2 linked regions of the Lytechinus pictus genome follow. Each later gene encodes a partner of the first gene's protein in a complex. Links are inferred from orthologs where the notes say so. Each region holds a gene or a part of one and is shown on either strand. Other genes may lie near its edges. The genes, in order: acyl carrier protein, mitochondrial-like; adrenodoxin-like protein 1, mitochondrial.

Region 1 (17,293 bases):
TGGCGAGCAAGAATTAAGGTAGGACCTAACTTTTATATAAATATTAGGAGATTGTATAGCCAATTTCCTAAATCCTTATTATAACATTGAAGAGAAACCCCTGTTTCTTCCAATTCATCAATGTTGGGGTCTTTGGGAAGGGATGAAGATGGAATGTCAAAATTTTTTGAATGTAATCTATAATAAAACCATTATACCATCATGAGGTAAAAAAAGATAATAATATTGGAGGGGTATTTGCCATATGGACATACAGTGGCGTAACTACGGGGGACATGGGGGGGCACATCCCCCTCCCCCCATCGGCTGACTAAAAACAAAAACGAGGAAAGGGGGGGAAGGAGAAAAGAGGGAGAAAGGAAGAGAAACGTAGTGGGAAAGAAGAAAATATTATTCATTATAAAGTTATATTATATTATAATTATGTTATGTTACATTACAACGTTATGAAACATAATTTGCCCAGGGCCTATACGTCTATTTTTATTGTTCCCGGTGCTCGCATTGTCTGTTTAACGAGATATATAATCCTGTAACCTACCGTTTTCAAGTCAATATAAACCAAATATATTTCCTAGCACTTGAGTTATCATTGTTTTATGTAGTGACATATGCTTCTTTTTCATGACTCAAAAGTGATTGCCCCATGTTAAGGTCTTCGTATATATGAAACATTTCCTGTCCGTGATTACGTTTGCATTAGTGGATTGGTGAGATATGTCTGCTCTTCATGAATTCCTAAAATCAGTCCTTAAAATGTCCCTTCTTCTGATCTGAATATCAAAAAATTTCAGCTCGCGCTTCGCGCTCGCATCATTTGGTTAATGAAATACGTATGGTCCTAGTTAATTCCTACAAAGAAACCTTAGAATGCCCCACTTCAGGTCTGAATTATCTAAGTGTTCAGCTCGCGCTTCGCGCTCGCATTGTTTAGCGAGACAGGTACCTATCATGATTACACAAATTTGATTATATTGTCCCTTTTTAGGTGTGAATATAAAAAAAATTCAGCTCGCGCTTCGCGCTCGCATTACTTGATCAGTGAGCTACATATCCGTTTAATGACATTGTCTTTAAAATGTCTCTATTAGGTCAGTATAACTGGCAACTTAGCGCACTCACTTAGTGATTCAAAAATTTTGCTGGTGCCCCCCTCCCCAATGCCGTGACCCACGGTACGCCACTGTGGACATATCAATGACAATTCCTTGCATATATCTAAAAACATGATTGCAAAAAATGCCAAAATATTTCAGTCATCCCCCCCACCCATCAACACGGATTTACGCCAGTGCTGCTCGGAATGTTTAACTTACCTATGGATGCTTCTGAACGCAGTCTATTTAGCTCCAAATTCTGTCTCCTCTTAAGGTTGGTGGGTGAGCATCAAACTTGTACTTCACAGGGCCACATCTCCAATACTTATCCAGTCCATTCTCGAAGCTGTGGACACTGGGTGCATTTACTAACTTCCATTACTTAGACTATTCCAAGGTTTCCTCATTCTTATGTAAAAAGAATTCTTACGTTTCTCAGTTACTGACCTCGGAATGTATAATTTTTCATCATGACCTCTGGTAGGCCCATGCACCTGACCAAAATCTGGCACTACCTCCTGGTCATACCTGTGTAATAACTTGTTTAAGTTTAAGTTTATTAAGTTTAGTTTTAGTTGTATGTTTCAATCATATCTCCTCGCGCACGGTGAAATGCCAATGTAGGAAGCTTTAGTTGAATCAATCTTTGTTCATATTATGGAAGGTTCTTTACTTCAGGTACCAACTTATAGTGGCCCTTCTTTGAACATTTTCTAGTGCTTGAATTATGTTTCTTTAAGTATGGACTCCATACTGCATGAGCATACTCCAAATGAGGTCTTATCAATGATGTGTATAGGAGTAAGAAGTTCTCCTTGTGAAGATAAACAAATAGATTCATTAGCCTATTGGCTTTATTTATCTTTGACTGAAAGTGCATGGTCCAAACTAAGCTTTGTGTCGACAATCACTCCTAAATCTTTACTGGTTTCAACTTGTGATAGATTATGTGAGGCATTATCATGTGTCATTGTATAGTCATTGATTTCATCATTTTTTTTACCTAGTACGGTAAGTACACAACATTTTATCCGGGTGGAACTTTAATAGCCACTTGTCTGCAGCGGCGTAACAGGGGTCGGTGGCCAGGGGGGGGGGGGGGGGGGGGGCAAGAGCCAAAAATTTCCCGGTCATATCATGGAACAGGCAATGGCGTCATAAGGCAAAAAATTTGAGAGGGCGATATGGCGTATCGGGCAAATATATATATATATAAGCGAGCGAGCAAAAATTTTTGACATTTTTATTGCAAAAATCAAATTTTGTGATAGATTTTGACATAATGTTAAAAAGATGATATCATATTCACCCTCCTCTTTGTCCTTTTTTCTCTCTTTTTTTGTACGCCACGGTGAACAGGATTTTTGTTATGATTGTGAGCATCAGGGCGAAGCTCTATATGCTCGAGGGGGCCGAGTATGGCGCTTCTGGCAAGAAGTAGCTCTCTATAGGTCCCGAGCGAGCGAAGCGAGCGAGATAAAAAATCACCTTTTCATGAGAATCTGTAACATGAAGATAGATTTTAACGTGATATTCAGAAAAATATAATACACTTTCCTTTCTTCTTTTTGTTTGGTTGTAGAATTTTTTGGGGCCATGGTCCAAACTCATCCATATAACAGTGCTTTATGGGTGGGGTCCAGGGCAGAGCCCCGGAACCTCTTGATATCAAAGCCATTTTAAACCTACAGATGGCCACTTATTTTAATCAAATTGCGTGTATATTTATATAGCTTTAACACAACACATAAATTAAATGCAGTTGTGTATCGTAATCATCCAAATATTGTGAGGGGCACACCATAGCAAATGTGGGAAATCAAATTTTGTAAAAATTCGCCAGCGAGCGAAGCGAGCCAGAAAAAAAAGGCCTGTTAAAATGAAATTCTAATTATGTGATAGATATTTACATCATTATAGCAAATATCATGTCATATATTTTTTTTCATTCATCTCATTTCGCTGCCTCCTTTATTTTCTTTTATTTCCCTTGGCTGTGGAACCACCCCCGGTACGCCAGTGCTTCAACGTAAAGCCTAATGCAGGAAGGGTCCATATAGGAGCCCGTTATAGAACCCATTAAAGGTTACAGATGAAGAGCCCCCACTGCACGGGGTCTTGACTCTTGGACAGAGCCTTTGGAGATTAAGCAAGTTTATGATAGACTTTCATACGACATTATGCTTATATACCATCCATTTTTCTTCCCGCTCGGCTCTCAATCCTCGGCAGCCCGGTAGTGTACGTTGCGTTATCTTGTCCCTATTCTTTATTTTCCAATATAGATTTTGGCTAATTCCATTCTGCCTTTATTTCCCGCTTTTGTTTTGTCTTTTTGTTATCTTTAATTTATTTCCCTGTCTTACTAATCATGCTAATGTATTTGTTTATCGGGGCGAATAGTTCTTTCTCACTTGTTCTTTTTTCCTTCCTTTTCCCGTTATCTTTCCGTTTTCCATTTTTTATGTTTTTTCTTAGTTTTCTTTTCCCTTTTCCTTTCCCTTTCCCCTTCCCCTTTCCCCTTCTTTCTTCTCTTTCCCTTTCTTCCACCCCCCTTTTTTTTCTTTTTCCTGTTTTTTTATTTTCCCAGTGAGCTCCGCCAGAGGGGGGGGGGCAGCTTGCCCCCCCTGCCCCCCGCCTGTTACGCCACTGCTTGTCTGACCTTGAAACAAGACGATCTAAGTCCGCTTGTAATAACTCAGCATCTTTGTCATTTTTACATGCTTGTATAACTTGGTGTCGTCCGCAAATAAAGAATAGTACTTGACAAAATCTGATCTGCCTGTGGCAGCTCATTAATGTACATTACAAAAAGCAGGGGTCAGACATTCCCTTGCAGTATTTCGCTGCATGGTTACATTAACCCAGAAATTAATGTCCAAAACTTTGAGCTCGCGATTCGCGCTCGCAACATCTCGCAAGGTTGCTATTTTAAGAGCCATGACCGATTAAAATGAGAGTTTTACAACTTCAGGGGCCCGTTTCATAAGGGATTTGCAACTATTGTAACTTTGCCATAATGGCAACTACCATGGTAACATGCAGGGCTCAGCAGTCAATCACAATCATGGTTACCATGGTAGTTGCCATTATGGCAAAGTTACAATAGTTGCAAGTCCTGTATGAAACGGGCCCCTGATCTTACATTTTTTTCCAAACCGCTCGCTCGGAACGAGTCGCCGGAAAAAGCCTTCAGAGATCATGCAATCAGAAATAACTTCAAAAAGGCTTTGCTCAACATAATTACTATACAACACACAAGTACTTCACGCAGATGATAAAATCATTGAGAAAATATCTGATTAAATTGCACCAAAACACGCATTTTGACATATAGGCTCAGTGCCCTTTTTTGGGATTTGCCCCACAAACGAAAATATATCGAAGTTCCCATAACCTTTTTTTTTTTAAATTTATAATGTAAGACTGAAAATACCGTCTTTTCTGCCTGACTACCTCACTTTAATACATGATGATGGTGATTCGCATATATTCCAAGGATTTAAAATAAATCCAAATCGACTGTGAATATATATTGACCAGCCGAATGATGATTTAAATATAATATCTAAAAGATTTGAATTTAAATCTTTTGATATTTAAAAGTTAAAAATAAATTCGGCTGGTCGAGTATTCACAGCCGATCTGGATTTATTATAAATCCTTGGAATGTAGAGTGTGGAGATCGAGAGGAGCCGGCGTCACTCACGGACTGACCCATAATGCGTGTAAAAAAAAAAATTGAAAAAGGGGTCGATTACGTTCCTATTCATTTTTTAGCACTCGATTGGCGGACAAAGGAAAATATGAATATGACTTATTATTATTATCATTTTTATTTTTATTATTATTATATATAGTTATTATTATTATTACTATTATTATCATTATTGTGAAGCGTTGTGGCCCAGTGGATTAGTCTCCGGACTTTGAAACAGCTAAGGGTCGTGGATCCCAGCCATGGCGTAATTTTGATTTATCCACATTGTGCTACACTCGACCCAGGTGAGGTGAATGGGTACCCGGTATGATTTATTCCTTGAACGCTTTAGCGCCTACAGCCGGGGTAATAATGATACCAAGTATCAAAGCGCAGTTGAGTACATGTATATGACATAGTAACTGCACTATAAATGGACATATTATTATTACTATTATCATTATTTTTATTATTATTATTATTATTATCATTTTAATTATTATTATTATACTGTATTATTGTTGTTGTTGCCGATCCTATCATTATTTTAATCATTGTTTATTATTCATTCATTTGATTAATCATTCATTCGATTTTTTTTTACTATTTTTTTTTCTCGGCGAGAGTTGATTTGTGATACTAGTATTTTCCAACATAACGGTAATGGTATATTTCTGTGGTTTGAATTACCGGGCCTAGTGGGGTCCGGACAGCCCGACCACCGGACAGCCCGACCCTGGACAGCCCGACCCGCTACCCTGGACAACTCGTCCCGGTCGAGTTGTCCAGGGTTGGCTCTGAATCGGACAACTCGACCACTTGAATTCTTCTTCAACATTTCATGAAATAATATTTCAAACTTTACTTCAAAAGTATTTCCCCGCATAATCCATGTTTCTACAATACATTCTCGACAGAAAAACCCAGCTACGCCACTGATGAGATCGAGTCAAATTGCCTTCGGGATTGCATCATTTCCAAGAGGTTCTCAGTAATATTCCTGAGATGATGAAAAGGATGTTGGTGGCGATGATGTTTGTGATGATGATAATGATGAACATTGGTGATGACGGTGACGATGATGTTGGTGATGATGATGCTTGCTGATGATGGTGATTATAGTGTGATACGATGATAATGATGACAATAATGATGGATGATGTTGTGATGATGATGGTGGCGATGATGGTGATGTGATGATGAAGATAATGGTGATGGTTATGATGGCGATTATGAGGGTGATGATAGTGGTGATGGCGATGATGATAAGGACTGGATGAGAATGATGCTGGTAGTGATGTTGGTGTAATGATGATGGTGGTGATGGCAATGATTGTGATATTGATGGTGGCGATGATAGAGACGATGATGTTGAATGGTAATGTGATGATGGTGATTAAGATAATGATGGCAATGATGATAGCGATAGTGATTATGGTGATGATAAGTGATGATAATGATGGCGATGAATATAGCGATAGCGATGATAATTAAGATAATGGTGATGATAATGATGGCGATAGTGATTATAGAGATGATGATGATGGTGGTGATGGCACTGATTGTGACGATCGTGATGGTGGCGATGATTTTGGTGGTGATGTTTCTAAAAGGGATGGTCCGGGCTGAAAATATTTATATCTTAATACATAGAGTAGAATTCACTGGATAACAAAATTATTGAAGTTTAAAGTTTAGCAATATTTTGTGAAAACAGTCATGAATATTCATTAGGTGGGCTGATGATGTCACATCCCACTTTCCGTTTTCTTATGTTATTACTTAAAATCATTTTTTCATTATTTCATTGTCTCCCTTATAATGTAATAAGTTGCAGCAATACATTTCTAGTTCTTGGAGGAAAAAAAATTGAATAAGCCTTACTTCATATAATAAAATACAAAAGAACAAGTGGGGATGTGACATCATCAGCCCACCTAATGAATATGCATGACGACTGTTTTCACAAAATATTGCTAAACTTTAAACTTCAATAACTTTGTTATCCGATTTGATGGAATTTTCGGCATTTTGCTCTGTGAATTCTACTCTATTTATCAAGCTATAATTATTTTCAACTCGGACCATCCGTTTAAGATCATTCTTTCATTTCCATCCCTCCTCTCCATCCCCTCATCTCAATTCCTCTAATCTCCATCGCCTCCTCAACTCTACTCTCATCTTCATCTCTATCCCTCTCATCTCCATCCTTCCTCTCATAATTTCCATCCCTCTCATCATATTTTCCTCTCATCTCCGTCCTTTCATCTCCATGCCTCCTCTCATCATCTCTATCCCTCTCATCTCCATCCTTCCTTTCATCTCCATGTCTCCTCTCATCTCTATCCCTCTCATCTCCATGCCTCCTCTCATCTCTATCCCTCTCATCTCCATCCTTCCTCTCATAATTTTCATCCCTCTCTATTCCTCTCATCTCCATCCTTCCTCTCATAATTTCCATCCCTCTCATCTCCATCCTTCCTTTCATCTCCATGCCTCCTCTCATCTCCATCCCCTCATCATCTCCATCCTTCCTCTCATCATCTCCAACCCACTTCTCATAACCATCCTTTTCATATCATCGTCTCCATCCCTCCAATTTCAACTTCATCTCTTCCAAAATGATCAGCACTTAAAGGTAAAATGTTCAGCAGAAATAAAATTCACAAGTAATAGAACCCAATATTCACAATACTTTTTTTTTTGTAAAGTAGACTGTTTATTTTCTATGTAACAATATGATAAACTTGATCACAACTAAAATTAATTAGTAACACATAATTTTCTGTTATATCTTACAAACAGTATAGCAACACATAACAAAACACGTTCTTGCTATGCTGTAAAAAAACACACATAAAGAAAATCAAATAGTGCACCATTCCTGGTATATTTGTTTACTATTTACATATTCACAAATTCATGTGTGCCCAGTCATATTTTTGCCTCTTGGTATAATTAGCAATTGCCAGTCCAACTTCAGACAAATAATTCCTGCTATACTTCCTTAAAGCCTGGTATATTTGTATATTATTTGTACATATCAACAAATTCATGTGTGCCCATAGTTATATTTGTTATCGTAACTCCAATTGAGAACAATATCCTCTGCTTTGGGTGTCGATGTAACAATATGGACAATCTTAAAACTACAATAGTAACCATACAAATTAACATGCATTAATTAATTGCCCCTTTGGTTTAAGAATATACAACATTTCAAAATGTATTGCCTATTTGATTACCATGACAACTAACTTAACCCTAACTTACGTGGATGGCTCTTTCAAGGACAAGTCCACCCCAGGAAAATGCTGACTTAAATACATAGAGAAAAATCAAAATAGCATAGGGCTGAAAATTTCATCAAAATCGGATGTAAAATAAGAAAGTTATGACATTTTAAATTTTCGTTTATTTTTCACAAAACAGTGATATGCACAAATAGGTGAGTCAGTCGATGATGTCCATCACTCACTATTTCTCTTGTTTTTATTGTTGGAATTATACAATATTTCATTTTTTATAGATTTGACAATAAAGACCAACTTGACTGAACCATATTAGTATTAAACAATAATTCCACATGTTCAAGGAGGAATTAATTGTTGTATCACTTGACAATGAGAATTAGAATATTTCATATAATAAAATACAAAAGAAATAGTGTGTGGATAACGTCTCAGTCTCATTATTTGCATACCAGTCAGGATGTGCATATAACTGTTTTGTGAAATTAAGCAAAACTTTAAAATGTCATAACTTTCCTATTTAACATCTGATTTTAATGAAATTTTCAGTGTTATGCTTATTGGATTTTTCTCTTTTTATTCAAATCAACTTTTTGTTGGAGTGGACTTGTCTTTTCAGCACTTCCTTATAATTTTGTTTTATAAATAAAAACAAGCTAAGTACAGTTTGCAATCCATGTTGTCTCAACTAAGTCAAACAGTTGGAAAGATAAAATGAAGTATAAAATGAATTATTGACAAAATTAATATTTGAAGTTCTGCAGTCTGCACCTCTTCTGATAAAGCAAATCAGACCAAAAATAAGTAAAATTTTTGTTCAATTCAAACAATGTATAAAAGAAAAAAAAGTAAATTTATTGTTGAATTCAATTGCCCTTTCTTTCTTTTAAAGAATTTGAAGAAAAAAAATTGAACTTTGATATGCCTGCATGAAGTGCACAAAAATTGATTTATTGTATCTAAAAAGCTGTATTTACCTCATCGATCAAGGGACTGCCGCTCTGATGCCCAAGTCATTGGAACTCGGTATTATTTCTGCTCGTGAAAGAAATGGAAAGACCATCGCATGTCGAGTATGAAACCTCTTCTCATCCCGGGTGTAGGTGGTTGGTACCAGCCCAAGTGCTGGTATCCTCCAGAAGACCCGTTGTTTCCAATGGAAGTTGCATTAAAAAAAAGTTGTGACAGTACAAACCGACAGGTAAAAAATGAGACACATGTTTTTCGATAACGAAAGGCAAGTTTTAGATTTTGATTAAAATTTTTTAAGTTTTTGAATTTCGGCAGAATACATTTCTTTTTTCAATAAACTTTTCCGTTTTGATATCAAAACTAAGTTTTTCAATTTTGATAATTATAATTACCCAATCTATGTCAGATGTGCACCCCCATTCTGCTCCTCTAAACTTAGAAAACAATAAAAATTTGTAATACCGCGGTAGTTATTTAAGAACAAAAATAAACAATAAAGAGTAAAAAAAGACACTTTCCTACAAAAAATTGTAAACTTCATAACTTACATACTGACACATTTTCAAATCTATTTCCTTAATTTGTTTATATGTTGGTTGGAAGCACCCCCCTGGCCTAAAGGCCTCCAAAAAGGGGCGTCAAGGATGGTTTTGGGAAGCACATTCCGACCACGCATTCACTGTCCTATACTCCTATAATCAGCTTAGTGACATTAAAAAAAACTTTTTAATAAGTGGAAGAAGTGTGAAAATACAAAAATAGCACTCTCGCCATTGGAATATGTCAAGAGACGGAAAATTTTACTAAAATAAGTAAGTTTGACCTCGCATAGCTAGTTGAGCCGAGTGCCACACTCAGTCACAATCACAGCACAGCCGGTCGCCCAGCAGGCCTGCGAGGCGAAGCACCGCATCGGGTGTCCTTTCCAGGTGAACTATCTCAAAAGTTTGCATTAAGTATCAGTTTTGTGAAATGGAATAACTTTAAATAAGGAGAGGAAATGTGAAAATGGAATATGAAAATACAAAATAGCACACCCTCATCATTAAAATATGTCAAGTGACGGAAAAATCAACTCAAATTTGCAGAATTTGAACACAGCTCGCCGGCGGTATCGGATTATCAATTTATCAAGATACCGGTAATCTCGTTGCAAGGGAACTCTCTTTATTTTCTTTCAAAATAGCTCAAAATGCACTGAAATGTCAAATTTTCTGTCGATAATGTATTGTAGAAACATGGATTATGCGGGGAAATACTTTTGAAGTAAAGTTTGAAATATTATATCATGAAATGTTGAAGAAGAATTCAAGTGGTCGAGATCGAGTTGTCCGATTCAGAGCCAACCCTGGACAACTCGACCGGGACGAGTTGTCCAGGGTAGCGGGTCGGGCTGTCCAGGGTCGGGCTGTCCGGTGGTCGGGCTGTCCCGGAACCGGCCTAGTTGGCTTACCATAACTCCTTACATGTTACGGCAATCATGGCGTCGCTGTGCAGATTTCGTGTTCTCTCAAGTATTCAGAATTTTGCCAGAATTCAGCATATCAGAAGTATTGCAACCCGAAGTTCATCATTTGCTGCTTTGCAACAGGGTTTTGGGAATTCAAGATGCAATCAGAATAATCTTAAACAGAGAATTACAGAGGTAAATATCGCCACAAACCGGGCGACAAGGGCACAGTCACAGACACAGTTCTAATTCTATCATGCAGCTGGCCTTAGCTAGCTAGTGTGTTTCTGCATCTGCACAGCCACAGAGTGGCACAGGATCGGGAGCTCGGGAGCGGCACGGCATTGGAAATGGCTATGCTGCAAGCAGTGCAGTGTGCATGGAGTTTGGAAGAGAGCGTCAGCATGTTCCATGTCTACTCAAAACTAGGCCTAGTTAGGCAGATATCCAAAGGGAGGCGTGTCTGTGCTGTGCGGGCCTATAGAGTACTAATAATAGACTGATACAGACAGTGATTTTCCGTTTCAAAAAATGGTCTTTTTTGTTTCTTGATCTAAAAATGGAAATTCCATTTTGTCACTGAAAGTATGTACATGTATGATGGGGTGACCCCAATAGTTTGCGCACATTTTAAAAATCATCAAGAAGTTGATTTTCATTCAAAAATTTCTCACAGCTCTCACAAAATTAATAAAAATCATGAATACCAAACGGAAGGCAAGATCCTAAAAGTCAATTCGCTTGACGGAATTATAAAGTAGGTCAAGGGTTTCGCTGGTATCGCGATCTCTTCTACGGCGATTGACTAGTGCGTGCTCGGCTGAAAAAGTGTCACAAAAAAGTGCGACCTTAATTTGCGCACGATTGTTTTGCAGACAAAGCCAAAGGTTACAATTGTATAAGATGCAGGTTAAAATGCCATAAATTTGGTTGGTATCACATTTTACTTATTTGGAGACTTCCGCTTGCAAACTGGCAAATTCTTGATGCTTGTCGAGAAGGTCGGATTTTCTCGGAGCGGACGCAAATGTAACAAGATTTGCCGATATTTTGCCAATCTTTTCATTAATAGAGACCTTACCTTCAAGAAAATTACTATACTGGGTAATTTTAAGTCGCTCTTTCTGTTGGTGATATCAATTTTTCAAAATATTAATTAGATATTGAGGTATTCGCCCGTGCGCAAAATTAGGTAACGCGCAAATTAAGGTCACACTACCATACACAGCAAAAACCTGAATTCCATTTTATTTTGCAAAGGTGAATTCCATGAATTTTTACATGAAAAATATAAGAACCAAATGGAATTGCCGTTTTATTTACCAGTAGAGGCGCTGTTGCTGGTCCAAAAATTGGGATTGTCCCAGAAAACAAGGATATCCTCATAAACCAAGACAAATCATGTCTTGATAAAATGAGACTGTCCTTGCTATAGGGACGTTTTTTTTTCACTTCCCCCTACGGGACAAAGACATCAATTACGGGAATTGAGAGTGCTAAAAATAGATTCAGTGACCTCAATTTCCCCCAGTTCACCGTCTATTTTACATGACTTGCCTTCTTCCAATAATATTGTTATGAATCCTGATATGTTTACATTGACTAGCGCACTTGATTGGTGTCGGCACTTGACAGGTGAATGAACTTTCCTAGATTTCTTGTGTGAAGAAATCTGTAAAAACTGAGACATTCCCTGTAAACTGGGACGATCCCAGTTTTCTGACTAGCGCCTCTACTTTTTACCGGTAAAACAAAATCACCGTCCCAAGACTCGGGCCTAGTCTAGATCTAGGCCTAATGTTAGTTTGTCCAGGGGTCCGTTGCAGAAAGAGTTGCGTTTAAACGCAAGTCAAAATATCAATCGCAAGTCCCAAATGCGCGCTGTTGATTGGTTGAAAATCAAATTGCGCATGATTTTTGAAGTTGCGTTTGATTGCAAATCTTTCTGCAACGGGCCCCTGGGCTCCGTCTTACAAAGAGTTACGGTTGATCCAATCAAACGTAACTCTATGGAAATCCATCAGTGTCATAATTTTTTCTATAGATTGGCACAACGTCCTTTGTAAACAAAGAGAAGCACAGTGAATTTCTAAGAAAACAATGAATACATGAATATACATCATAGAAAATATTTTGAAGAAACATGTACAGTATTTTAGATGTTGATGTTGCTGGCCGTCCATAGTTGCGACTGATTGGATCAATCTTAACTCTTTGTAAGACGGGGCCCTGGTCACTACGTTGCTGGCTGCGTTGACTTGATTTTAAAAAGGAAAAGAAGATAAGAAGGAAAGAAAGAGGAGGAAAAAAAAGAGCAACCAAGACAAATATAACTGTATATGAAGAAGGAATATGGTTTGGTTTGAGGGCTGAAGTTTTTGCATTGCCCAATAAAAAGAGCAGTAGGCATGGTAGGGTCTATAAGTTGCTCGCCGGCAGCGCGGCTGGCTTTGCCTTTTTAATCTGCTGTCCTTTGCTGTTGGGCATGTCTGGTGCAAAAAATAAAGAAATTGAACTTGAGAGTTTGTCATGGCATAGTTCCCAAACTTATCATCATCCGTGAAAGCACACTCCACTAGGTTGGTGTATCATCGTACTTGTAGAATTGTGCAGGATGTACAGTGACTGTGGAAGATGTATTCTATGTGCGGTTAAAGAAACTTAGTCTGCGCAGTGCCCATTGTCTGTGCATTTGATTGTTCTTTTTCATCTGTTGATGGGTAACGTTTTTTGCAGGAAAATCGTGGTCTGTATTCTTAAAATAATAAAAGTAGCAACTTATAATTTTGTGGAGTTTTAAGGAAATTGATGTTTAATCTTAAGTTTGAATTTAAGATGAACACACATGGTGTCCCCAGCTTTATAAATCTCAAGATCAATATGTTCATTAGAAAATCTTTCAGAAATTACCCATCCCCCCTCAAAAAAAAAAAAACACGAACGGGCTATTCTGTAGTATTACCAGAGATGCCAATTGCCAACTGTTCCTTTTTTTTTAAATGAAAAAATACTGCAGGTTTTATTAAAATACCCTTTCCTCAAAATTATCAAATACATGTCTGCAGGAGAAATTTGAAAATTCTCTCTTACCCCCAATTCATGTTTTTATGCCTGGAAATACTGAAAAGTAAGGGGTTGGCAACTTGGCATCCCTGCATCACACATTTAAAAGAAAATTAAACCTTTAGATTGGATCAACTTAGCTTGTCACTTGTGTGAAAAAAACAAGCTCCAGTGGGACTATTTGTTATTTTAACAAGTTTTATGAATCGAACCCCTGATACAGACCAGAATGCTTGTGATACTTCTTGTCCTCCATTAGTCTTATCCTCCATCCCTTCTATTTTGACAATGTGAGAAAAAAAGCATCATGACAAGAAGTTTTTCCATTGTATAGTGAGATGATAGGATCCGAGATCCGTTAAAAGACTGATTGTCCATGATTGTCTTTCAGCTGAACAGGCCAGTACGTCATTATGGATCAGCTGCCGAGATGACCATATCCAGTATCCAGGAAAGATGTACGCTAGTCCTTAAACTATTTGATAAGGTGGACCCAGATAAGGTAATCTTAGTGTTGAAAAGGGTTAAGCAAGACAATTTTTATTTTATTTTTCATAAATTCCAAACTGGATTGATATTAGACATTTGATTACCAAGGACTGAAATATGGAGCAAAACTGAGAAGAAAATGACTTTTCATTACATATTTGAAATAGTGAAAATTCATTCTACAGAATAAAACTGTTTTGAAAAATAGATGTACAGATGTGAACCAAATATGTTTCTGAGCTGGAAAGATTATTTGATCCCTATTATGTTTTCATTACGAATGAAAATATTTCTAGAACTGACATCTTTTTTTTTTACATACTGGACTCAACTGGAGTACTTTATGTAATATTCTTGATTGCTTGCTTTTCTGTGTAAGGTCTATATATTCACATATGTAATCGCCTTTTATTTCCCAAGGTGACACTTGATGCCAAATTTGCAGAAGATCTTGGATTGGATAGTTTAGATGCAGTGGAGATTATCATGGCAATGGAGGATGAGTTTGGTAAGTTAGCCCATAGATCTGGTGGTTCATAAAAGTCACTTTGTCCTAATGGAATCCTTTAGAATGACAAATCTATTCAACTACATGGGGAAATAAAAAGACAAATATGTTGTGTTGTACAATCTACTTAAAATGGCTTGATTTAGGCAAATATTTAGATGAGTTGGGCGATTTATACAACACTTTTTATTTGAAAAAACAAACAAAATCAGTTGGCAATCGGTTTCATGTTTTTTAAAAAGTTTATAAAGTTGCCCCCTTCCCTTTTCCATCTCACCGTACCTCTTTCTGAACATTATCATGAAAGCATCACCTCTGAATTCGGTTTATATTTGATTGCAGTTATTTCTTACACAAACTTACTCAAAATTAATCAAGTAAGTACGAAGCGAGGAATATCTGGTCAAAATATAATACAAAAATTAAGATTACTTTTAGATTCTCCATACAGGTATGACCATGTAGTGATGTCTTTGAAACCCTTTTAATTAAAAGATCTATTTATGAAATATATTTGACAGGAGTTGAGATCCCAGATGAGACTGCAGAGAAGCTCTTGAATCTGAAGGATGTTGTCGAGTGTCTAGCTGATAGACTGGATGTAGCTCACTAACATTCAATATCATTGTTTTGTGTAAGTATCAAGTTTTCATGATTCAATTTTTTAATTACAAGAGGATCAATACCATGTGTGAATTCAGGGCTAGAATTAATTCAAACCACAAAGGCCATGGCTTTGAATGCCCTATTGATTGGCTTTGGATATTTTTGTGTACTGTTTTCCATTTGTTAGCACTTTAATATAGTAATGTGTTATATAGAAAAGTGGCCATGACCTAAAAATATCAAATTTGAAGGCCTGCAGATGTCTTTCATGTTTCAGGATTATTGTTTTTCTCAGAATAATCTGAGATTTTGTCCATACACTACATAGCAGATGCTAATTGACAAGGTTGGAAAAATTGTTAAGTCTTACGACCAGACCCATTGGGATATTGGGAGTTTATATTACAGTTGACTTTGATAGATGAATCAAAAAGAATGATGTGAGAGGTTTACATCAGTAATTATTCCTTCTGTAATTGTTTTGTTCCCTCTCTCTACTTGCCTCTCCTTCTCTATCTTTTATTCCTCCCTCCCATTTCCACTCTGCATATAAATAATGCACTCCATTCTCAATTGGAAAAATTTGCTAATTTTTGTTGAATTATTCCTCTTATCCCTTCCCTTGTTTTACTTTCCTTTCAGATTATACAGATTTATTGTATCATTGGCCATGACCAAGTAAATGCAGTGAAGGCTCGAGGATGCCCCCCTTCACTTCGATCACACAGGGCTGTAGACTGGACTAGTATTCCCATCATGCAATGGATGCATCGTCAGGATATCTTCATGTCCAGTCCACGTGAATTGCTAATCTGCTCTGGCATTCATGAATTTTATTTGTATTAAAATGTCAAAAGTCACATGTATATCATTCTGATAGATCTCTACAATAATCTACATACTGATGAGCTCCTTGATTTTCTAGCTTTATTGAAATGCTATTCCCACTTTGAGGTTTTGTTTCTCCTTTAAAATTTTATATCGCGTCACCTCAAACATCTACCTGAAAAGCTGAGAAATGTGATTTGTGTATTATGTATAGAATTAAAAAACCCAGAATAATTGTGCTATGAAAGTGCATCCACCCAATACAAGAATGACTCCTTTGGGTTTTTGTATTGGTTGATAAATCCTATGTATTATCTTCCCACCATCAGGCGTTCCCATGTAATAACACTGAAAATAATTATCTGGAATGTAGATACGAGCTGTTCAAGTAAGGGTTGGAGATTCCGTTAAAGAATCTGGTTCAATCCAGAATGAATAGGTTGGGTCTGGTTCTTAATCTGGCTTGGTCTGGCTGGTGTTGGATAAAGCCAGTTACCCTTGCACTTCTCGAACACCTACACGTGTGAATAAATGGTTGTAATTTGATTTGATCAGAGTATTTGGTAGCAATTAAAACGTTTTGACGACACCAGTGAATGATTTCTGTTTTGCTTTCTGTTAACCAAGGTGATGCATCAAAGATAGTTATTGTTTGTGGGCTGTCAAAACCTTTCATCTCAGCATTTAATTAGCTATGAATAAGCTGGATTTCAGAATTATAGCAATGATGCTAACCTCACATGGTCTGAAAATTTAACCCTTTCCAGGTAAAAGGAGGATGCCGCTTCATGAATTTCATAAATCTAAACTGGCACCTTTTCTTAGCTGTCCTGAAAATGTTAACATTTTGAATATGAGGTTTTGATAGCCGACCAACACAAAAAAAATATGCCATGCACCCTGCAGGCGGCTGCTCTGTTGCGTATGGATATTATCTTTTTCAGTAGTTCAGCAGAATGAGCAAGCAGCATGCCGGGGGTATGCCTCGAATTTATCTGGCCTCCCAGATGAAGAGGAGAGAGAGAGATGGAGATTGGAGTCTTCATGAAACCATTGAGGGACTGCAGGGGTTATTCACATAGGAAAGAAAGCATATGTGAAAAGACAGTCAAGGCAGTTGCTGAAAGAGATTGAGAGATGGAGAGAGAGAGCAGGGGCCTGTTGCAGAAAGAGTGGCTATCAAATGGAACTTCAGTAATTGACCGCAACCTGAGCCAATCAGACGCACGTATTGAGGACTTGCGCTGGATTATTATCTCCTGCAATGGGCTCCAGATGTGAAATGGATAGAGAGAGAGAAGGGTAGGCAAGAGGTGAGAGTGGAAAGAT
Region 2 (17,541 bases), on another chromosome or scaffold:
GCAGATGGTTCTGTTGCTTCTGCCATTGATTGGTGATAGCTGGATGCAAAACTTTCTGCTGGTGTCGGAAGAAAGTCCTGCGTGTGTGCGTTGCTACGTTAAAATGCTTCAGCACTCGCAGCGACTCACTGGGGCTCCCGCCAGCAAACAGGATTGCCGCTGACAGCTGGAGGTTGCCAGCAGGATAGGGGCCTATCCATGGCTGGCTCTCCCATGTTGTCGACTTCTGGTCACAAGACAGGCACTCCCTTGTCACAGAAAGGAGGCTTCCAACTTCCCTCTTTACAAGGGACACATTTGCAGACTTGCAGGATGGGCAAAACTGCAACAGCTCCAAAAGCTTAGACTCGTATACAATGTATTTTTTTTCCTTGTGTGGAGGAATACCTTGGGCTGGGGCTTCCCATGTGGCCTTTTTGCTTGATCGCCTTTTCCTGTATTTGAAATAAAAGACAAAAAATAAAATTGTTTAGAAATACAAAAAAAATCCTAAAAGACGATGTAAGAATTTCATCAGCCTGCTGTTGCTGTAATATATAAGAAAAATTATCTAAAATGCTTTATTTATTAAATCACTATGATATGTGTCTGAGGTTTTTCTCAAAAGAATTTACAGTACTAGTATTGATTTTGAACAGGATAATGAAAGAACTAACCGTTTTCTCTGTCTTTTTTGTGGCTTGGCAATAACACGCTCATCTGATGATGAAGATGAAGATGATGGTGGTTTGTATCCAGGTGAGGAGGGTTCTGCGGCGTCACTTTCTGGAGATGATAACCTTTCTTCCTCCGCTTCCTTCGCATCAACTTTCTCTTCTGGTATATCCCCTTTGTCAAAAGAGGTCCCTCTTGAAATAAAGGCTGGAATATCGGGTGGTATCTGTGAACCTGTGTTCTGCAGAAGTACAACCCTTTGGGACCCTGAAAATGTCCATGTATATTTTACTTTTACTTTGGTTGTGAAACAAATTTTCAGACATAGGGGAACACAACATATCTGCAATCCAGGGTGTAAGTTATCTGTGGCCCGGACTACTGCGTAGGACTTATTCTTCAAGTGGAATTGCAACATTTACACCTTCAAATTGGTACCCGTAACTTATCTTTCTAGCAACATTGTGAATAATATGTGACATACTGAGCATGACTCCTGTTAATGGTTTTGGTACTGCGCATATGCAAATCAGCAAAATCGCTTGCAAGTATCCAAAAATATACAAGGAACACAGAATGATGCAGTATTCTATTAAATGTAAATGTATAATAGCTATAGATGTTCATGACTATCATAGCCAAGTTAATTAAACTACATGACACTGATTCTGTCAGATTGGGAATGAATATCAGTAATTCAATATTTATAGCCTCAATAAATATATTATCTAGAGCATATGTTTACAAAAACTTTCCACAACTTAGCAGCACCAGCCTCAAAAGGAAAATTGACAATATAGATAAACAGATGAAAAATAAACTTACGTTTAACTCTTGTTGCTACAGAGACCTGTATCCCAACAGAGGTTGTATGGCCATGCTGCTGAAATTCCATAGCTGGATCTTTGAACGGCTGTTAATTGGATATCAATACAGTAGCCAAAATATGCTGAATACATGTACATACCACTACCAGTGACATGCAAAAAAATTATATACATAAATAAAGTATGGTTTCCAGCACAAATACTAATCAAAACTACACCTGAATCAATTTTGGGATAAACTGTAATTTCAGTCACAGCCAGGTATGTTAAGACTTGGAAGACAAGTATTATGAGTTTTTCATGAACCATATGTCTTGTTTGAATCACATGCATAAAGGTTTTGGTTTCTTTGGAAAGAAAAAAATGTCAATATAATTTACATGTATCCTAAATTCTGCTAAATTCATTGTGGTTGATAATTTACTCAATATTATCCCTTATTTGCTGCTAAATTACCTTTTATGTTTGTTTGCTTTCATGTCTTTTCACGGGGAGGGGGTGCACAATTTGAAAACAAATTTATACCTGTTCATCAAAGGATTCTTCAGACTCAGATGAATGTTCATCTGTCCATTGGCTGCATCCTGGCTCATCAGTGTCTGATGGACTTTCCATTGATGCAGGCTCCACTGCTGACCCTTGCTCCTCAGCATCCCTAGCTTCAACAGATGTTGACAGCAATTCATCCAGCATCTGTGAGAATAATTTAAATAAAAAATGAGAGAAAAATATACACAATAGCCATGTGTTCTTATTTCTAAAATAATAAACTTAAGGAATTAATAACATATTAACATGCTAATTTCAGCCTTAAGTTTGGGCTGTGTAACATGTATTTTTTTTAATATGAAATAAACCATGATTGAATTGAATGGAATTAGAAATCATCTTCCTTCAGATCTATTTTTCATTCAGACCTCAGTTAGATTTCACTACCTACTTTATGATGTATGGCAGTGAGTACAAACTGTTGCAAAGTCACCCTACATAATTTCATATATGCATTGTATGGAGTAATCATTGGTGGGATAAGAAAGTCCAAATATTACATTTTAAATTTTCAGTACGAGAAATTAGATGTATGCATATTTATGCAAATTGGAGCACCTAATTTGCTTAATTGGTAAAATGAGCATTAAGTATTTATTACAATTATTAAAAATCATAGAAAATAAAAAAAGTGAGAAATTAAACATTGGTGGGACATGGAACCTCTAACGCTCTAACATTTTATTATTGAGGGCTATCTATATTAATATGCAAATTAAGTAATGTCAAAAGACAAAATGATCTATATGTAATACTTTGGGGACATTTTAAAACTTATTTCCCGGAGTACAATACTTGCATTATTGCATCTTTAGGCAGACTTTCTGACTTATCAAGTATAAAAATGTAATACCACGAAAATAATCAAAAATACAAATTCGTTTTTTTTTCAAATAAAATTGTCAATTCATTCATTCCACTGTATCTTCAACCATGACAATTGAGATGTTTCATTGTATTTATATCTCATTCAACCAAATAACTTAATTTAATTATATTTTGCACATTGTATCTCTACATTAATCCCTGTATTGTAATTATTAAATCAATTCAGTTATGTTGTATTTGCTATCACAAAGATAATTTTCATGCCTTATTGTATATCCAAATCAATTCTTATAGAGCCCAATAGTTCATCCCATTTTCATTATTTCTGTACACTCTTTAAAAAAATTTTATTTCTATCAAAAAAAATTTCTTCTAAAAAATATAGATCTACATGTATAGCTCCATGGTATAAACTATTTCTACAATCATTATTGTGAATCTTTTAACTCTGTATATTATTGCATGAACAATTTTGTCCAAACTTATAATATCATGTTGTTTAGAAGGTTCCTTTCATGCAGATTTGTTTACCCTTCTCATGACTTTGTAAAACAAACACTGAATTGAATTCATTTCTTTTCCATTAAAATATACAAAATCAAGACAAAGAAACATTACAAAACATAAAAATGAGACAATATACAATATGATATTAGGCCTGGAATCTGGATCTGGAATAAAAAAAAAAACTTTTTGGCTTTTTAAAAAAAAGGTAAAAATAATCTAACGTTTTAATTCCCAGGGTAGCCACTTCAGTTAGGAAACTGTTCTACCACCGGGCCCTGCATAACATAATAATTAATACCTGAATGTAATTGTAATTATTATCCTTCTCCAATCTAAATGCTGAGTGCCTAGTATTTTAGTAAGGCAGGAGGTCCCTTTTTTAATGACTCGGTCGGGTATCGAACCCAAGACCTCCCGTTCATGAGGCAGGCGCTTTACCACTAGAGCCACCATACCCCCAAAAGAGTTTGTATATTTCCTTACTTGAGAAATGAACCACAATGGCACAAACAACTGAAACAAGAAAACTTTTAGACCTAACGTTGGGCCTACTGTACCTCTTCACAGCACTAGCCACGTACTACAATGTAGATCCTGTCTTGAAATACAACTCACAATTAATAGGATTTCTAATTCGCAACAGAAATTTAGAATTCGTAGACCTGTTTCCAATGTCATGAATGTGGAGCCTGGACTCTTGAGGAAAGTTTGAGGATCACTTCAATTTCCTTTTTTATTTTCGAGGCGTATCCTATGGCAAGTTCCCCCAAGTCTACGCACACGCGTATCAGCGCAATTCTAGTAAAAGAAGATACGCAACGAGCACGAGCTCTACACATGCAATACCTAGCCATAGCCTAGGTCTACAGGCTGACAGGTATTTAAAAAAAAATCTGACTCAAAATGATGGATTTAGGGCATTTCATGTGACGGCATCAAAATGCAGCCTTTCTCATCAAAATCCCCGAATCGTGTGCAAAGATTGAGTGCGCAGACATGGGCTCGGGGTAGGCCTACCATTTTTTGACAAATCTGAAAATTACAGTAGGCCTACGAGGTTTTTCCAAGAAAATCCTATAGGCCTATTTTCTTTCATTTTTTTAATGAGAAATTTAGTACAATTACTAAAATACTAATAATAATATAAGGAACATTATTAACGGAAAGATTTTGTTAATAAATAATAAGAAGAAATTCATGTTAATCTAAACTCAAATTGTTTGATGCGCAGACTTGGGGCCCACCATCATAAACACCTTCAAAATAAAAAATAAATAAAATAAGGAAATTGACGTGATCCTCACACTTTCCGTCGTTGAACTTGAACTGACTGACCACAACAATTGCAAAGATAAACTTTAAACAAAGTCTATTACTAATAGATAATATGCTCACCCTCATTTTCTTTCGTTTGTCCGCTGCTGTCCGTGACCCACTCCTCTTTACTTGCATTGATGACCCACTCTTTATTTTAGGCACAGCGTCGGGCTTCAGCCGCCGGGTCCTCTTCATGCCAAAAGCAGCATGCAACCCGTCATCAAAATCCGCATCTTCGAAGTGGCTACTGCACACCACGCTCCAGTCACTGGGGCCGCTCCAATTTGCTCGGGTCAACTTCACTTTCGAGACCCATATTCTGCGTAAATTTGCATCTTTGGGAAACAAATGCAAGCTGGCACCATCCTTCGTAGTGTTGCTGCAACCTCCGACGATGCATCTCGCCGGCATCTTGATATTATCGCAAATATCACAAATGTACAAAACTTTTCCAAAAAGAACTCGGTAAACTTTCTCAACAATACAGCGCTACAATACGTAAACATAATAGACGAAAACTTTTTACGTGCGCGATGATCGAGTTTGCAGAGCTGCCAGATTCCCTTGATGACGTATAGTCACGTGACTAGCGAGCTCGAGAGTTTTCGATCTTTTTCTGGAGGCGGGGCTTATGAGCGTGAGAAACTATGAAATTAACTTCTAAAACCAGCAATATCTTATTAATCCTAGATAAATAAATCATATTAATAATGTTAAAATTCTTAGAAAAACAATTGAAAACTAATAAGAGCAAAATATAGTTGCATGACTCAGAACCTTTAATTAACTATTTATTGCAGGGAACCCATACTAACAAGCTTTGCTTTCCAGTGGGTTCCCTTTTTTTCATTTCTGTATATTATACTTTTGTGTTTTGCTATACATTGTAACTTTTGTTAAATTTTGGAATGAAAAAGAATAAATGCAATCAATCAATATATGATTAAAAAGAAGTAAACATTTTTTCCCCTTTGTTTTGTCAATCTGACCCAAAACAAATATAAAATTTAGAAGAGAGATAGAGAGAAGAAGAAGTCCCACCACCAAGAATAAACTTAGACAAGGGGGGAAGGGAAAGGAAAAGATGGAGTAAATGTGATATTATTTTTTAAACAATCTATTGCAAAATTAGCTTTTCTTATAGAAAGAGGGGGACAAATTTTGTTCACTCGCTCGCTTCAATCGCTTTCTTCTTTTTTTTGACAGAAATTTTGCTCTATATATGCCATGCTTGGCCCCTCAAAGTTTCTGGCTCATCATGCCATTGACATAACCCATTTGGATATGACAAAATTGGAGACTGTGTTCAAGTTTACCAAATCTTTTCAGAATATCGTTAAGACTTAAACATTCTTGTTGGCCAAAGAAAATAATACAAGGAAAATCCTAATGGAATAGAAATCAACCTTGTTATTTAGAGTTAGCTATGTTTAAAGTATGAAAATTGTTGTCAAAATTGCAGTCAGATGTAAAAATTATTCTTGTCATCAAAGCACTATTATCTTGATCACGACCATTATTATTTACTGTCATTATCATCATATGATTACAACACATTACCAATACATAATGCTATTTTTCATAACTGATGTATTCTTTGTTTGAATTTCTTGATAATGGTGACAATTACAATTGATGACACTGCTAGTACACTTACTACTGCTGCTGCTACTGTTACTGGTGATTGGTAGTATTGACCATTATTGTTATTAAATATATATAAATAAAAAAACAATTGAAACATTTATAATTACTTATTTAAAACAAATGAAAGTACAAAATACAAAATGCCTTGAAAAAGCCTTGAAAATGCCTTGAAAATGCCTTAAAATTTCAAGGCTCAAAATCCTCAAGGCCAAGGCCCTCTCAAAGCCAATGCTTTGAAAAAGTAGCTAGGCATTAAGGCGCCTTTAAAGAAGGCCAAGGCCGAGCATCAAGGCACTACAACACTGATTAGTACTAGGCATTAATTAGACAGGTCCAGATTTGAGGTAAAGTTAATGCGCTAGCCTAAGCTAGCCCTACCCTAGCACATGTCTTGCCATTAATGGCAGCTAGTTTATTAAGTGTTTAAGAATTTGATATATATATATAGAGATCTAAGCTTATAAGACCTATGTAACTATGTAAGGGTACCGGTAATCTGACGATGCTAATTCATTCTGAGCAACGTGAATGCTTGCTTATGATCGGCACTGGTACTTGGTCGAGGCCAAGTCCACGCGCATGCGTACTCTCAATCCGAAGACTCAAGTCATGAATATTCATATGTTGGTCCAGAACTCGGTGGGAAAAATAATTTCGCGGGCCGGGGCGGGGCCAGGGCTGGGACTTGTTTTGTTGTTTTCTATAGGCCATCAGACTTTGAGGAAGTATACAAGGAATTTATGTACATTGAATAAAAAAAGTCATGACACGTACACAGAATTAAACTCATACGATCAAAAAGAACATCGCAATAAAGCTTTGTTTTGTACCGTACGTTGTCATGATCTCCCGCTAGATCTACATCAATCTCCAGAAACAATATCGGAAAATCTTGCCACTTTTTAAAGACTTAGGCCTAAAGTTAATCATTGCATTATTCTCTTAAGCTGCTCGATGTCGGAAAAGTTAACTTGTATTCTACCCAATCCTTATTTTCATCAATAATATAGGCTTCCGTTTATAGTTCAAAAAATAAATCCAGATCGTTCAATTTATTAATAAGTTTTTGTTTTACTGTGAAATTTGAGAAGAAAAAAATACCAGAGTGGTCTAATTAAATTAACATTTCCATGCAGAAATTGTGTGTGAATATGATTCAGAAAGAAATAATAGAGATTAGAATCAACTACTAGTAAATTTATTCTATAATATGTTGAAATATTCAGTCGTTTTAAAACGGCAATCACTGACGCTTAAATAAGTATTACTATAATTATATCTTTCAATTCGTTATAACAATGATGATGATGAGGAGGATAATTATTATGATGATACTCTATACACGATTACCCAACGGGACAACGTAACTGTTACCACCTACCCCCAACGTACATAGCAAACAACCCTTTTGTCTTTTTTTGGACCGGTGTATACTATTGGAATTCCAGACCCAACGACTTTAAAGAATCTCCAAGCATTAAACACAACCTTAAAAAGATGCTTAATTTATTCAATACTGCACCAAACAAGTCAAACCAACATATAATCAAAACTCAGTAAAAGTATCAATGTTTAATTTACTATTAATAAATTTGTCAAATATTATTCTAGATAATGATACTTACATATGCCTAACGACCTGTCGGCACCTGTCGGCACCTGCCTTGTTCCTCTTTTCATTTTCAGTTTTACTTTCACCACACTCCCCTCCCTCTTTCCTTCATTTGCTTCCCTTTTTCTCCTTACTATAATTTTATAAATACTATTGCCTTTTCTTTACTTTTTTCATATTTATCATTATTATTGTTGTTGTTGTTTTTATCATTATAATTACTATTCAAATTACTTTCTCTCAATTTTATAGTCGCTTTATTCGCCTTTCTTTAGTTTTAAGTCCGTCTCCGTTATATATTGTTTTGTTAATCAGGTATTGAAACTTAGTTATAAAGGCTTGCCTCTCACAAGCTTTGCTTTTCTTGGCAAGTCCCTCCGTTTTGTTCCATATACTCTTTATAGCCAAAATAATTGCAGCTCACTTTATTTCCTGTTTAATTTATCTTAAATACGTGTATGTAATATCATTGAACTATATCTGTTATTTTGCATTGTAACTTTGATTGCATTTTCTTTATTTTGTTGAACGGAAAAGAATACAAAACTAAATCTAATATAAATGAGGATGATGATGATGGTGATGGTGATTGTGATTTTGATGATGATGATGATGGTGAAGTGATGATGGTGATGATGATGATGATAATAATAACTAGGCATATTTAAGTGCGACTCTAATAGTCACACTAAATCTTTGTGAAACACCCCGAGGTATAAAAGGGAACTTGCACCCACCCCCTGATGAAAAATTTGTAGTAAAAATACTCGAAGAATACTACTACTACTACTACTACTACTACTACTACTTCTACTACTACTTCTACTTCTACTTCTACTTCTACTACTACTATACTACAAATACTACTACTAGGGGTGGGGTGGCTGCACGGCTCCAATCTTAGTTTAGCCCCCCCCCCTCTTTATAAGCCATGCCATCTATAAAATTATCTTTCTTTCTTTCTCTCTCTCTCTCTCTCTCTTTCTATCTATTTATGTATCTCTTCCTTCTTACATCTGATAGGCAATAGCCCTAGTAAGATTTTGATATAATAGGTGAAATGCAAATGTACTAAAGTAATATGTTCTCATTCTTTTATTGTTTCCTCATTTAATCTCATGTATATCTGGTAATTATGTTTGGGGCAGTTCTGGTATCCTGATATCTACACAAAATTTACATACACCTTTATATTACAAGGAGAATATGGGCCTATAATGTCATTGCATTCACTGTTGGGCTATATATAATACAGGTAGGATATGCTGTATACATCCATATAGTGAATTATGAGTAACATTGAAATGGGTCACTGCATAGAAAATAGGAATTTTTAATGCATTTCTTTGTGCTAGTGTGAGTGTAGAGATATAAAAGAAAAGCAAAGTAGCTATTAAAAAAAATAAAATTCATATAGGTCATATGATATAGGTGCCACGAGCCTAATTACATCAGGAGGGCTAAAGATATTCGTTCGACCCAACCCATTCGATTTTTTTTCAATTTATATTGCTGATTGACAAAAGTATATGAATATGATTCAAAATCTATCACTGATTCTAGAAATGGTAACTACTGAACTTCCTTTGCCCAAATTGGGAAGATATATCAATGATTTGGAACTATTTTTTGACTGGCGGAAGAATTGGGGCTATTTTACTGTTTCAGTTGATGAATTTGATCCATAGAGATGTATACTAATATATATCTCTATGATTTGATCCCATCATAGTTATCTTCATAAATGGCGATTTATTTTTAAAATGAGCTGGCTACGATACCCTTCTCTGGTCAGATATGGAATGTCAGATATAATCCTATCCAAAGGTAGTAAACATTCGACCCTCTAATTTCACATTTATTTTTATGAATTTTTATTAAGTGCCATTTTAACACACAAGTCTATGGGGAATGTTTTACGCGCGTGACCCCCAAGCCCCCAAGCCAAGCGCAGCATGCATAGACAAATAAATACGTCCCTCTTCGGCGAACTCGTTTAGTTTCAAGATGGCGCTGCCCATGAAGCATTTTGTCTGTCAGTTTCATAAGATTTTACCAGTTATTATACGCTCGTTGTACACAAAACCAGCGAATATAACTCACTTTCAATCGATCAGAAGCAATAGCCACTCGAAGATCACCCGTTCTGTGGTTGGTTCACGACATATCCATGCTTCTATTGGTACGTATTTCTGCCTTTTTTGTATGAAAGTTCGATCATGTCCCAACCATAGGAATTGGTGTTGGGTTTAGTACGAACTTTCACCTTTTTATTCCAGTGCATAGATTATCGTGAAATAATGAGCGAAAGGTCAAATACCCATCAAATGTTATCATGTCATTTTAACTGAGAATATTATAAGTAGACTAGTATGACAGTAACTAAAAGAAAAGTCATGCTTCATTTAAAAAACATTGTTGTTGAATGTTGTTTTTCTTTTTGTGTTTTTGTAATTTAATAGCTGGTGGACTAAGGCACGGCGATTATGAGTATCAAGACCCAAAGTCTCCTGAGGATATGTAAGTTTACCCAAATAAGTATTTATTTATTTACTTCCTTAGGCTTTTTACAGAAATCATCCCATTCCAGCAGACTAATGCCATTCCTTGGCATGGGATGGGTTGATAAAATCATCTATTTCTTATATAAAATTCTAAATGAGAGATTCATGTACCGGGTACATTTAATAATAAAAATGATAGAATAATGACAGATTGTCTATACTTTAGTTTAAGGACAAGAACTCTACAGCTAACTCATGATTAAGAATAAGAGGCATATTGTTCAATAAGTTAGCCCATCACATAAAAATAAGAGCCTTGCCCTTGAACTAGTTATCTTTTCTTTACCAAAACAAAACACATTAAGCAAAGGCAACAAATTAACTTTACAGCATGAAGATCAGTAACAAAAGCAACAACAATTAAAAAAGTATATGATACACTTGCTCACTGCAACCATCCTGCCTGTGGGGAATCTACATGGTGACTTCCAGACTTTAGTCTTCCAGTCTGAATTTAGACTTTTTAAACTTCTTTTCAGTCATAGAAAAAATGGGGTCATCATTATAGATGATTTTCAGACATTTTCATCACTTTCAAGTGGCATCATTTCACAGATGAATATGAATAGCCTATTAACTCCCAAGACCGATTGCATCATTATTTTTAGTATGAACAAATTCATTTTACTCATTTTTTTAAACATTTCTTTTGCAAGAGAAATGTCTAGATGAAAATTTTGATTGCTGCAACTGTTTCCAATTATTATAAACAAAATCAAAATGTCAATATGTGACATGGTATTTTTATGTTCAAATGATTATTAATCAAATAATGAATAGTGAATATGAACAAACATGTAATTGTAAGTATGAATTTTAATTTATCAACACACTCCATTCACTTGACATGAACATTTTGTTTTACAATATATACAGTGAGAACATAGAATGTAATGTTAGATGCTTAGAATAATATAAAATATAATGTTTTCTCTATCCTTGTAGAGTGAATATCACCTATGTGACAAAAGACGATGAGAGGATAGAAGTGAAAGGAAAGGTTGGAGACAATGTCATGTATTTGGCACACAGATATGGTATTGAAATAGAAGGTGAGATTTTGATGCTTTTTTTAAGGGGAAGTACATCCTGATGATAGGTTGGTTTTAATAAAAGCAGAAAAAAATAAGAAAATAGTGGTTAGGGTTGATGGAAATCCATCAAGAAATAAAAGAGTTATGAAGTTTTTAAGCTTTTGATTTATGAATTCATATGCGAGCAGATCTCCCATAATTTGTGTCTATTTTTTAATGGGTTATGATGAGTAAAAATATATTTTTTAAGGGTTATATGAAATGATGATATATCCATTGCAAAAATAAAATCCCCTTCAATTTTTTGTTTAGAAAATGGCATTTTGGGATATTTATATCACATGACATATGGAGTAGCTGCTTGTTTGTGACTTCACAAAAATAATTTTTTTTTCTACTTTTATTAAAACCAACTAATTGACAGGGTTTAGTTCCCCTTTAATTAAAATATAGAGATGAGATTGTATTTCTGTTTATGCAGGGCTTGCCTATCATTGTAATTGTAAATTTGATAGAAAATTTATCCTTTAGGAGTTTGAATATTTCCAGTAACTCATTTGAACCATTAATGATGAGAGTGTGCCATCATAAATGTATCATATAAGAGTCAAATTGATGAAATATTGCAGGAAATTCGTTATGAGACTATGAAATACAATAATTTTTTTTTTCAAAAGAACACAATTGATTTTTTTTCTATGGGTAGGACTTGGACCTAAATATAAATGTCAGTTGTGGTAACGATCTCTAAATGACTTTTTATAGAATCCAATTTTAATGACCACCAAAGTGTCTGTTTGTATGAATAAAAAATTTGTGCCAAAGGATTCTAGAAGAAATTGTGTAATTGCTGAGAAATAAGCAAAATAAGCGCGGATTCTTACACTTCTGTCGGGTCTTTATTCCAGCAATAATAATATACACTGTCCCACGTGTGCCTATCTGTGTTGACGATCTTCAGTGTGATCGTTTTTCAGCTTAGATTTTATGATTTCACAAAGTTCAGTTTATGTTACTGTACCAGATCTAGATCCATGATGATATAGTAATACTTAACCTTGGTTTTAAAGACTTTCTCACAAAATCAGTGTTTTACTGCAACTACTTTCATTTAGCTTTAAGGGCTAAACCCTCTCCTACTTGCAGAATGTCAGTTTAATTTTCCCTTTGACCTTTCTATCAGGTGCCTGTGAAGCTTCTCTTGCTTGCTGTACGTGTCATGTTATCTTACCAGATTCATATTATGATATGCTACCTGAATCAACGGAAGAGTAAGTTGACAATATTCTAACCTCGCTCTTCCATACATTAGTATTAATGAATTTATATTATAAATGGATATAGTTTCGGGGTACCCAAGAGTTCTTTTTAATCTTTTGTGTTCAATAGATCTGTGTGATCTGATATTTCTTGCTTACTTTTTGAATAGTAATTATTTATGACAACCTAAAAGTTTACAAGAAATGACGACTTTTCATAAAATCAGATATAGCATCAAAGCAAGAGGTATTACATGCAAACTTGTGTACTTCAGCACTGCGATTTGCAAGTATAGGGTTACCTATACTAAATAGAAATATTCATATCTCTAAAGGCCACTTCATGCTTTCTTAATGTAATTCCTGCAATGGCCAGTATTTTGTATCAGCTTGATATATATATATATATATATATATATGTATATATATATATATATACAAAATACTACTGGTAATGATTTTTTTTTTCTCTGTCAAGGAAAGAAAAATAATTTATGAAATAATTGAAGAGTGGAATTTGTGTATGTTCATCATATTTCATTTTCTGAAGAATAAATCAAAACTAGTTTAAGTGAAATTTTCTTTGAATTTTCTTCAATTATTTTATTCATCATATATTAGCTGTTTTGCAGACACAATATAATTACTACTGGCAAGGTTAGTAGATATATACAAAATATAGCTAATTAGCTATTATATTCATGTTATGTTATTTTTTTTTTCAGGGAGGAAGACATGTTGGATCTGGCCCCTTTTCTAACATCAACATCAAGATTAAGTAAGTTGCCAACAATCACCTTTAGTAGTATAGTATAGAAAAATGAGTCTTCAAAGTTTGAAAGGCAGAAATTAACCATGATTTGTTTTTAAAAAGATCAGGGCTACAAGGTCCTACTTGTCACCTGTGTCTGTGATATATTATAAGAATTAAGCCCAGGAAAAAAATTGCACCCAAAAATCATTCTTAAGTGATTGAAAAAATACACTAATATGTGTTGTATTAATATCTCAAGGAGATCTAGTAAATTATGTTTTTTTTTCAGTCACAGCTATCTTGAAAGTGTCTGCATGAAGTTTATTTTTCCTGGGTGTTTTTTCATCATAAATGAAAAATCATTATTTGTTTTAAATAAGACCCTTGATATTAGATATATTTTCAATTTATTGGTACAAGATACTAGTATTTAAAGGACAAGTCCACCCCACCATAAAGTTAATTTTAATAAAAGGAGAAAAATCCAACAAGCAAAACACTGAAAATTTCATCAAAATTGGATGTAAAATAAGGAAGTTATGACATTTTAAAGTTTTGCTTTATTTCACAAAAAACAGTTATATACACATCCTGGACGGTATGCAAATTGACAGACTGGTGACGTCTCCCACTCACTATTTCTTTTGTATTTTATTATATGAAATATGAAAAATTCTAATTTTCTCCCCATTGTCTTGTGAAACAAAATTTTATTACTCCCTGAACATGTGGAATTACCATTATTTTAACAGTTTATAGTTAAGTCAAGTTGGTCATTATTGTAAAATCTGTAAAAATTGAAATATTGTATAGTTCAAACAATAAAAAACAAAAGAAATAGTGAGTGATGGACATCATCGACTCTCTCATTTGCATATCGCCGAGTTGTGCGTTTAACTGTTTTGTGAAAAATAAGCGAAACTTAACAACGTCATAACTTTCTTATTTTTCATCCGATTTTGATGAAATTTGCTGCGTTATGTTTGTTTTATTTTTCTCTATCGATTCAAATCAACAATTTTCTGGGGTGGACTTGGCCTTTAAGTGTGGCCTTATATTTTCTGACCATTTTCTTATTCTTTCCTATTTCATTATCATATAAATGACAATTTGTCCACGACCTGAGTGCTTGAGTTTGAAGAAAGCAGTATTATGTGGGAGATATCATTATCAGAAGTTCTTAGTCAAAGTGAATTGAATTGAAAATATTTATTGTCCACTAAGGAAGTTCATTTCACATTACAAAAGCACATTATAAATACATAGTGCTGCAAAAATTACAATTTTCGTTCAGAATACAAACATATTTATCACTTTTGAAATGAAATTTTCCCTTGAAAACATTTTTGTATGTTGCTAATTCTTTCTTTCTTTTTTTCTTTTTTTCTTTCTTTCTTTCGTTATTTCATTCTTCCTTTCTTTCTTTCACCACCACAGGCTGTCAAATTATTCTAAGCAAAGAGCTGGAGGGGATGGAGGTCCAGCTTCCGAAAGCAACAAGGAATTTCTATGTTGATGGTCATGTACCCCAGCCTCATTGACCTTGACTTCTTGTGTGACCTTGAGGCTGATGTTTAAAGGTCGTTCAGGGTTCATGTAAACAGGGCAGGATGCAAAGGGTACTCCTTTTTTAACACATTGACTTTTACACTGATAGTGTCCTGGTGTATCTGGGTGTATTAAGAACAATTCCCCAAACATGCACACATTCTGGTTTTTAACAGTGTTGGACCTCATCTATGGGATCATTGATGGAGTATTTTTCTCTGTTCTGCTAAAATTGTTTTGATGGCTCCATCCTGCATTTTGTCCTTCATGCACAATATTCTCAATGGCAATATCTATGTGGATGGCATCACAGCAAAAAGGCAGAAAGTGCATCTTGAGCGATTATGATACCGGTACCTAAATTTTTACCAGAAATGGCGTGATTAAGTTACAATTTATTATAACATGCCTGCCAGCTGCTCTCTTTGATCAGAATGATCTGAGTTTTATACCTGAAAAAGAAGCACTCTTCTTTGAATGGATGGATAAATGAACAAATGAATGGATGGATGAATGTAAAAATGAATGAGTGATTAAATGAATAGATGAATGAATGTGTTATTGGTTTTGTTTATATCTCTTAATGAAGGTTTAAGTGTCGTATTGGTCAGACATGTACCCTCGTTCATTTCAGATTTAATGGTCAGCAAGTGTAATGATAGAAGAATACATATATTTTCAAATTTATTTTAAAAGTTCAACCATAAAGATGATATGGCATTTTAGTAATGATAGTGATCCTGATTTTAATATCCATAGTATTGATACTCAGGGAAAACAATCTGGTAAATCTCTTCTCAAATATTTCGTAAAAAGCCTTTCTTAATACATGTATTCCCATGATATACTTTGCCATCCTACAGGAATTTGATGATCTCTGTATTAAGGACGTTCCACAGTTATGTTTGTGCGCATTATGATCTGCGCATAGTTTACACTCTGCGCGCTGACGTCACAATGGATGAACAGGTGATTAATTAGCTGCGGGTATGAGCTGATTTTTCTCTTCTTCTGCACTTAAACTGCAGAACCGATGTGTTATTTCATGAAGCTAAAAAGTGGAATTATTCCACGGACGATTAAAAAAAAATTCTCTACAATTTCAAAATACTTTACTCTGCAGTGCTGCCAAGAATCACGAATATTACCCCGAGTTTGAATAAATGGTAGAGTGGTTTTGATTTTTTCTTCACATAGATACAAAGTATTCGGTGCATTTTTGGTGTTTTAAAAAGCACATTTGCTCTAATAAAAATGCTGATAGTTTAAAAACAAGCACATGAACCCCTATTTTTTAATGTTTGTACCTCTTAGGTATACCTTCCTTTACAACTCTGCAAATTTTGGTGAAAATGACATGGATTTTGAATAAAGTGCAGCATTTATTGTACATTTGTAGTTTGTTACTGAAATTTCACATTTTTTAGATTGGGATTTTGTTATCTTTTACGCCATTTTTAAGAACTGGCAGTGCTGTTAAACTTAAAATTGCAAACAAATAGCACTATAGATAAATTCTCCATTCTAACGATACAATTATTAACTCTCTTGCAAAATTTGATGACTTTTTCATGTATTTTGACTGAGTAATAAAGGTTTAAACTCATTGTAGTAATCTTGGGCGGTCTAAAAATGCAAAATTCTTTTGAATGCGCAATTTTTAAGAACATCAATTTAGGTGAACTTTGAAGCTCTATAGCATAAAATCAAGCACATGGACCTATGTTAATTTTTGCATATTTCGAATATTAAGGTTCTAAAGTATCTATGTGCAAAGTTTGGTGAAAATGACATGGATTTCACTTTAACTGTGGAACATCCTTAAAGGGATGGTCTGGGCTGAAAATATTACTATCTAAATAAATAGAGTAAAATTCACAGAGCAAAATGCTGAAAATTTCATCAAACTCGGATAACAAATAACGAAGTTATTGAATTTTAAAGTTTGACAATATTTTGTGAAAACAGTTATATGCACATCGTCATGAATATTCATTAGGTGGGCTGATGATGTCACATCACCACTTTCCCTTTTCTTATGTTATAACATGTAATCATAAATGTTTCATTCTTTTATATATGTTTAAATAATCTGTCTCCATTATGATGAAATAAGTTGCGGCAATAAATAACAAATTCACTTAATCAGTTTTCAATCCAATTGTTTTAGTTCTTGGTAGAAAAAATTTTGAATAAACCTAATTTTGTATAATAAAATACAAAAGAACAAGTGGGGATATGACATCATTAGCCCACCTAATGAATATTCATAAAGGCATGCCTAGAACTGTTTCACCGGAATAATGCAAATCATTAAAATTCAATAACTTTGTTATTTGTTATCCAATTTTGATCAAATTTGTAGCATTTTGCTTTGTGAATTTTACTCTATTTATTGAAATATAAATATCTCCAGCCTGGACCATCCCTTTAAGCATATG

Evidence for each region.
Region 2: acyl carrier protein, mitochondrial-like (region 1) and adrenodoxin-like protein 1, mitochondrial share a complex: the UniProt entries of both Homo sapiens proteins name them as parts of the mitochondrial core iron-sulfur cluster (ISC) complex. The link is inferred for Lytechinus pictus from reciprocal best matches to the Homo sapiens genes NDUFAB1 and FDX2.

What each region holds. Positions count from the first base shown.
Region 1 is NC_087254.1:35,527,911-35,545,203, reverse strand, and holds acyl carrier protein, mitochondrial-like, read left to right. Parts: upstream 1-10,402; 5' UTR 10,403-10,500; coding exon 10,501-10,665; intron 10,666-13,924; coding exon 13,925-14,035; intron 14,036-14,442; coding exon 14,443-14,530; intron 14,531-15,051; coding exon 15,052-15,143; 3' UTR 15,144-15,164; intron 15,165-15,778; 3' UTR 15,779-16,561; downstream 16,562-17,293. UniProt on the Homo sapiens protein: Carrier of the growing fatty acid chain in fatty acid biosynthesis.
Region 2 is NC_087255.1:22,145,074-22,162,614, forward strand, and holds adrenodoxin-like protein 1, mitochondrial, read left to right. Parts: upstream 1-9,923; 5' UTR 9,924-9,948; coding exon 9,949-10,123; intron 10,124-10,403; coding exon 10,404-10,461; intron 10,462-11,450; coding exon 11,451-11,557; intron 11,558-12,722; coding exon 12,723-12,810; intron 12,811-13,523; coding exon 13,524-13,576; intron 13,577-14,989; coding exon 14,990-15,093; 3' UTR 15,094-16,712; downstream 16,713-17,541. Other genes in the region: uncharacterized protein LOC135156058, read right to left, coding at 1-434, 657-921, 1,480-1,567, 2,007-2,174, 4,761-5,093. UniProt on the Homo sapiens protein: Electron donor, of the core iron-sulfur cluster (ISC) assembly complex, that acts to reduce the persulfide into sulfide during [2Fe-2S] clusters assembly on the scaffolding protein ISCU.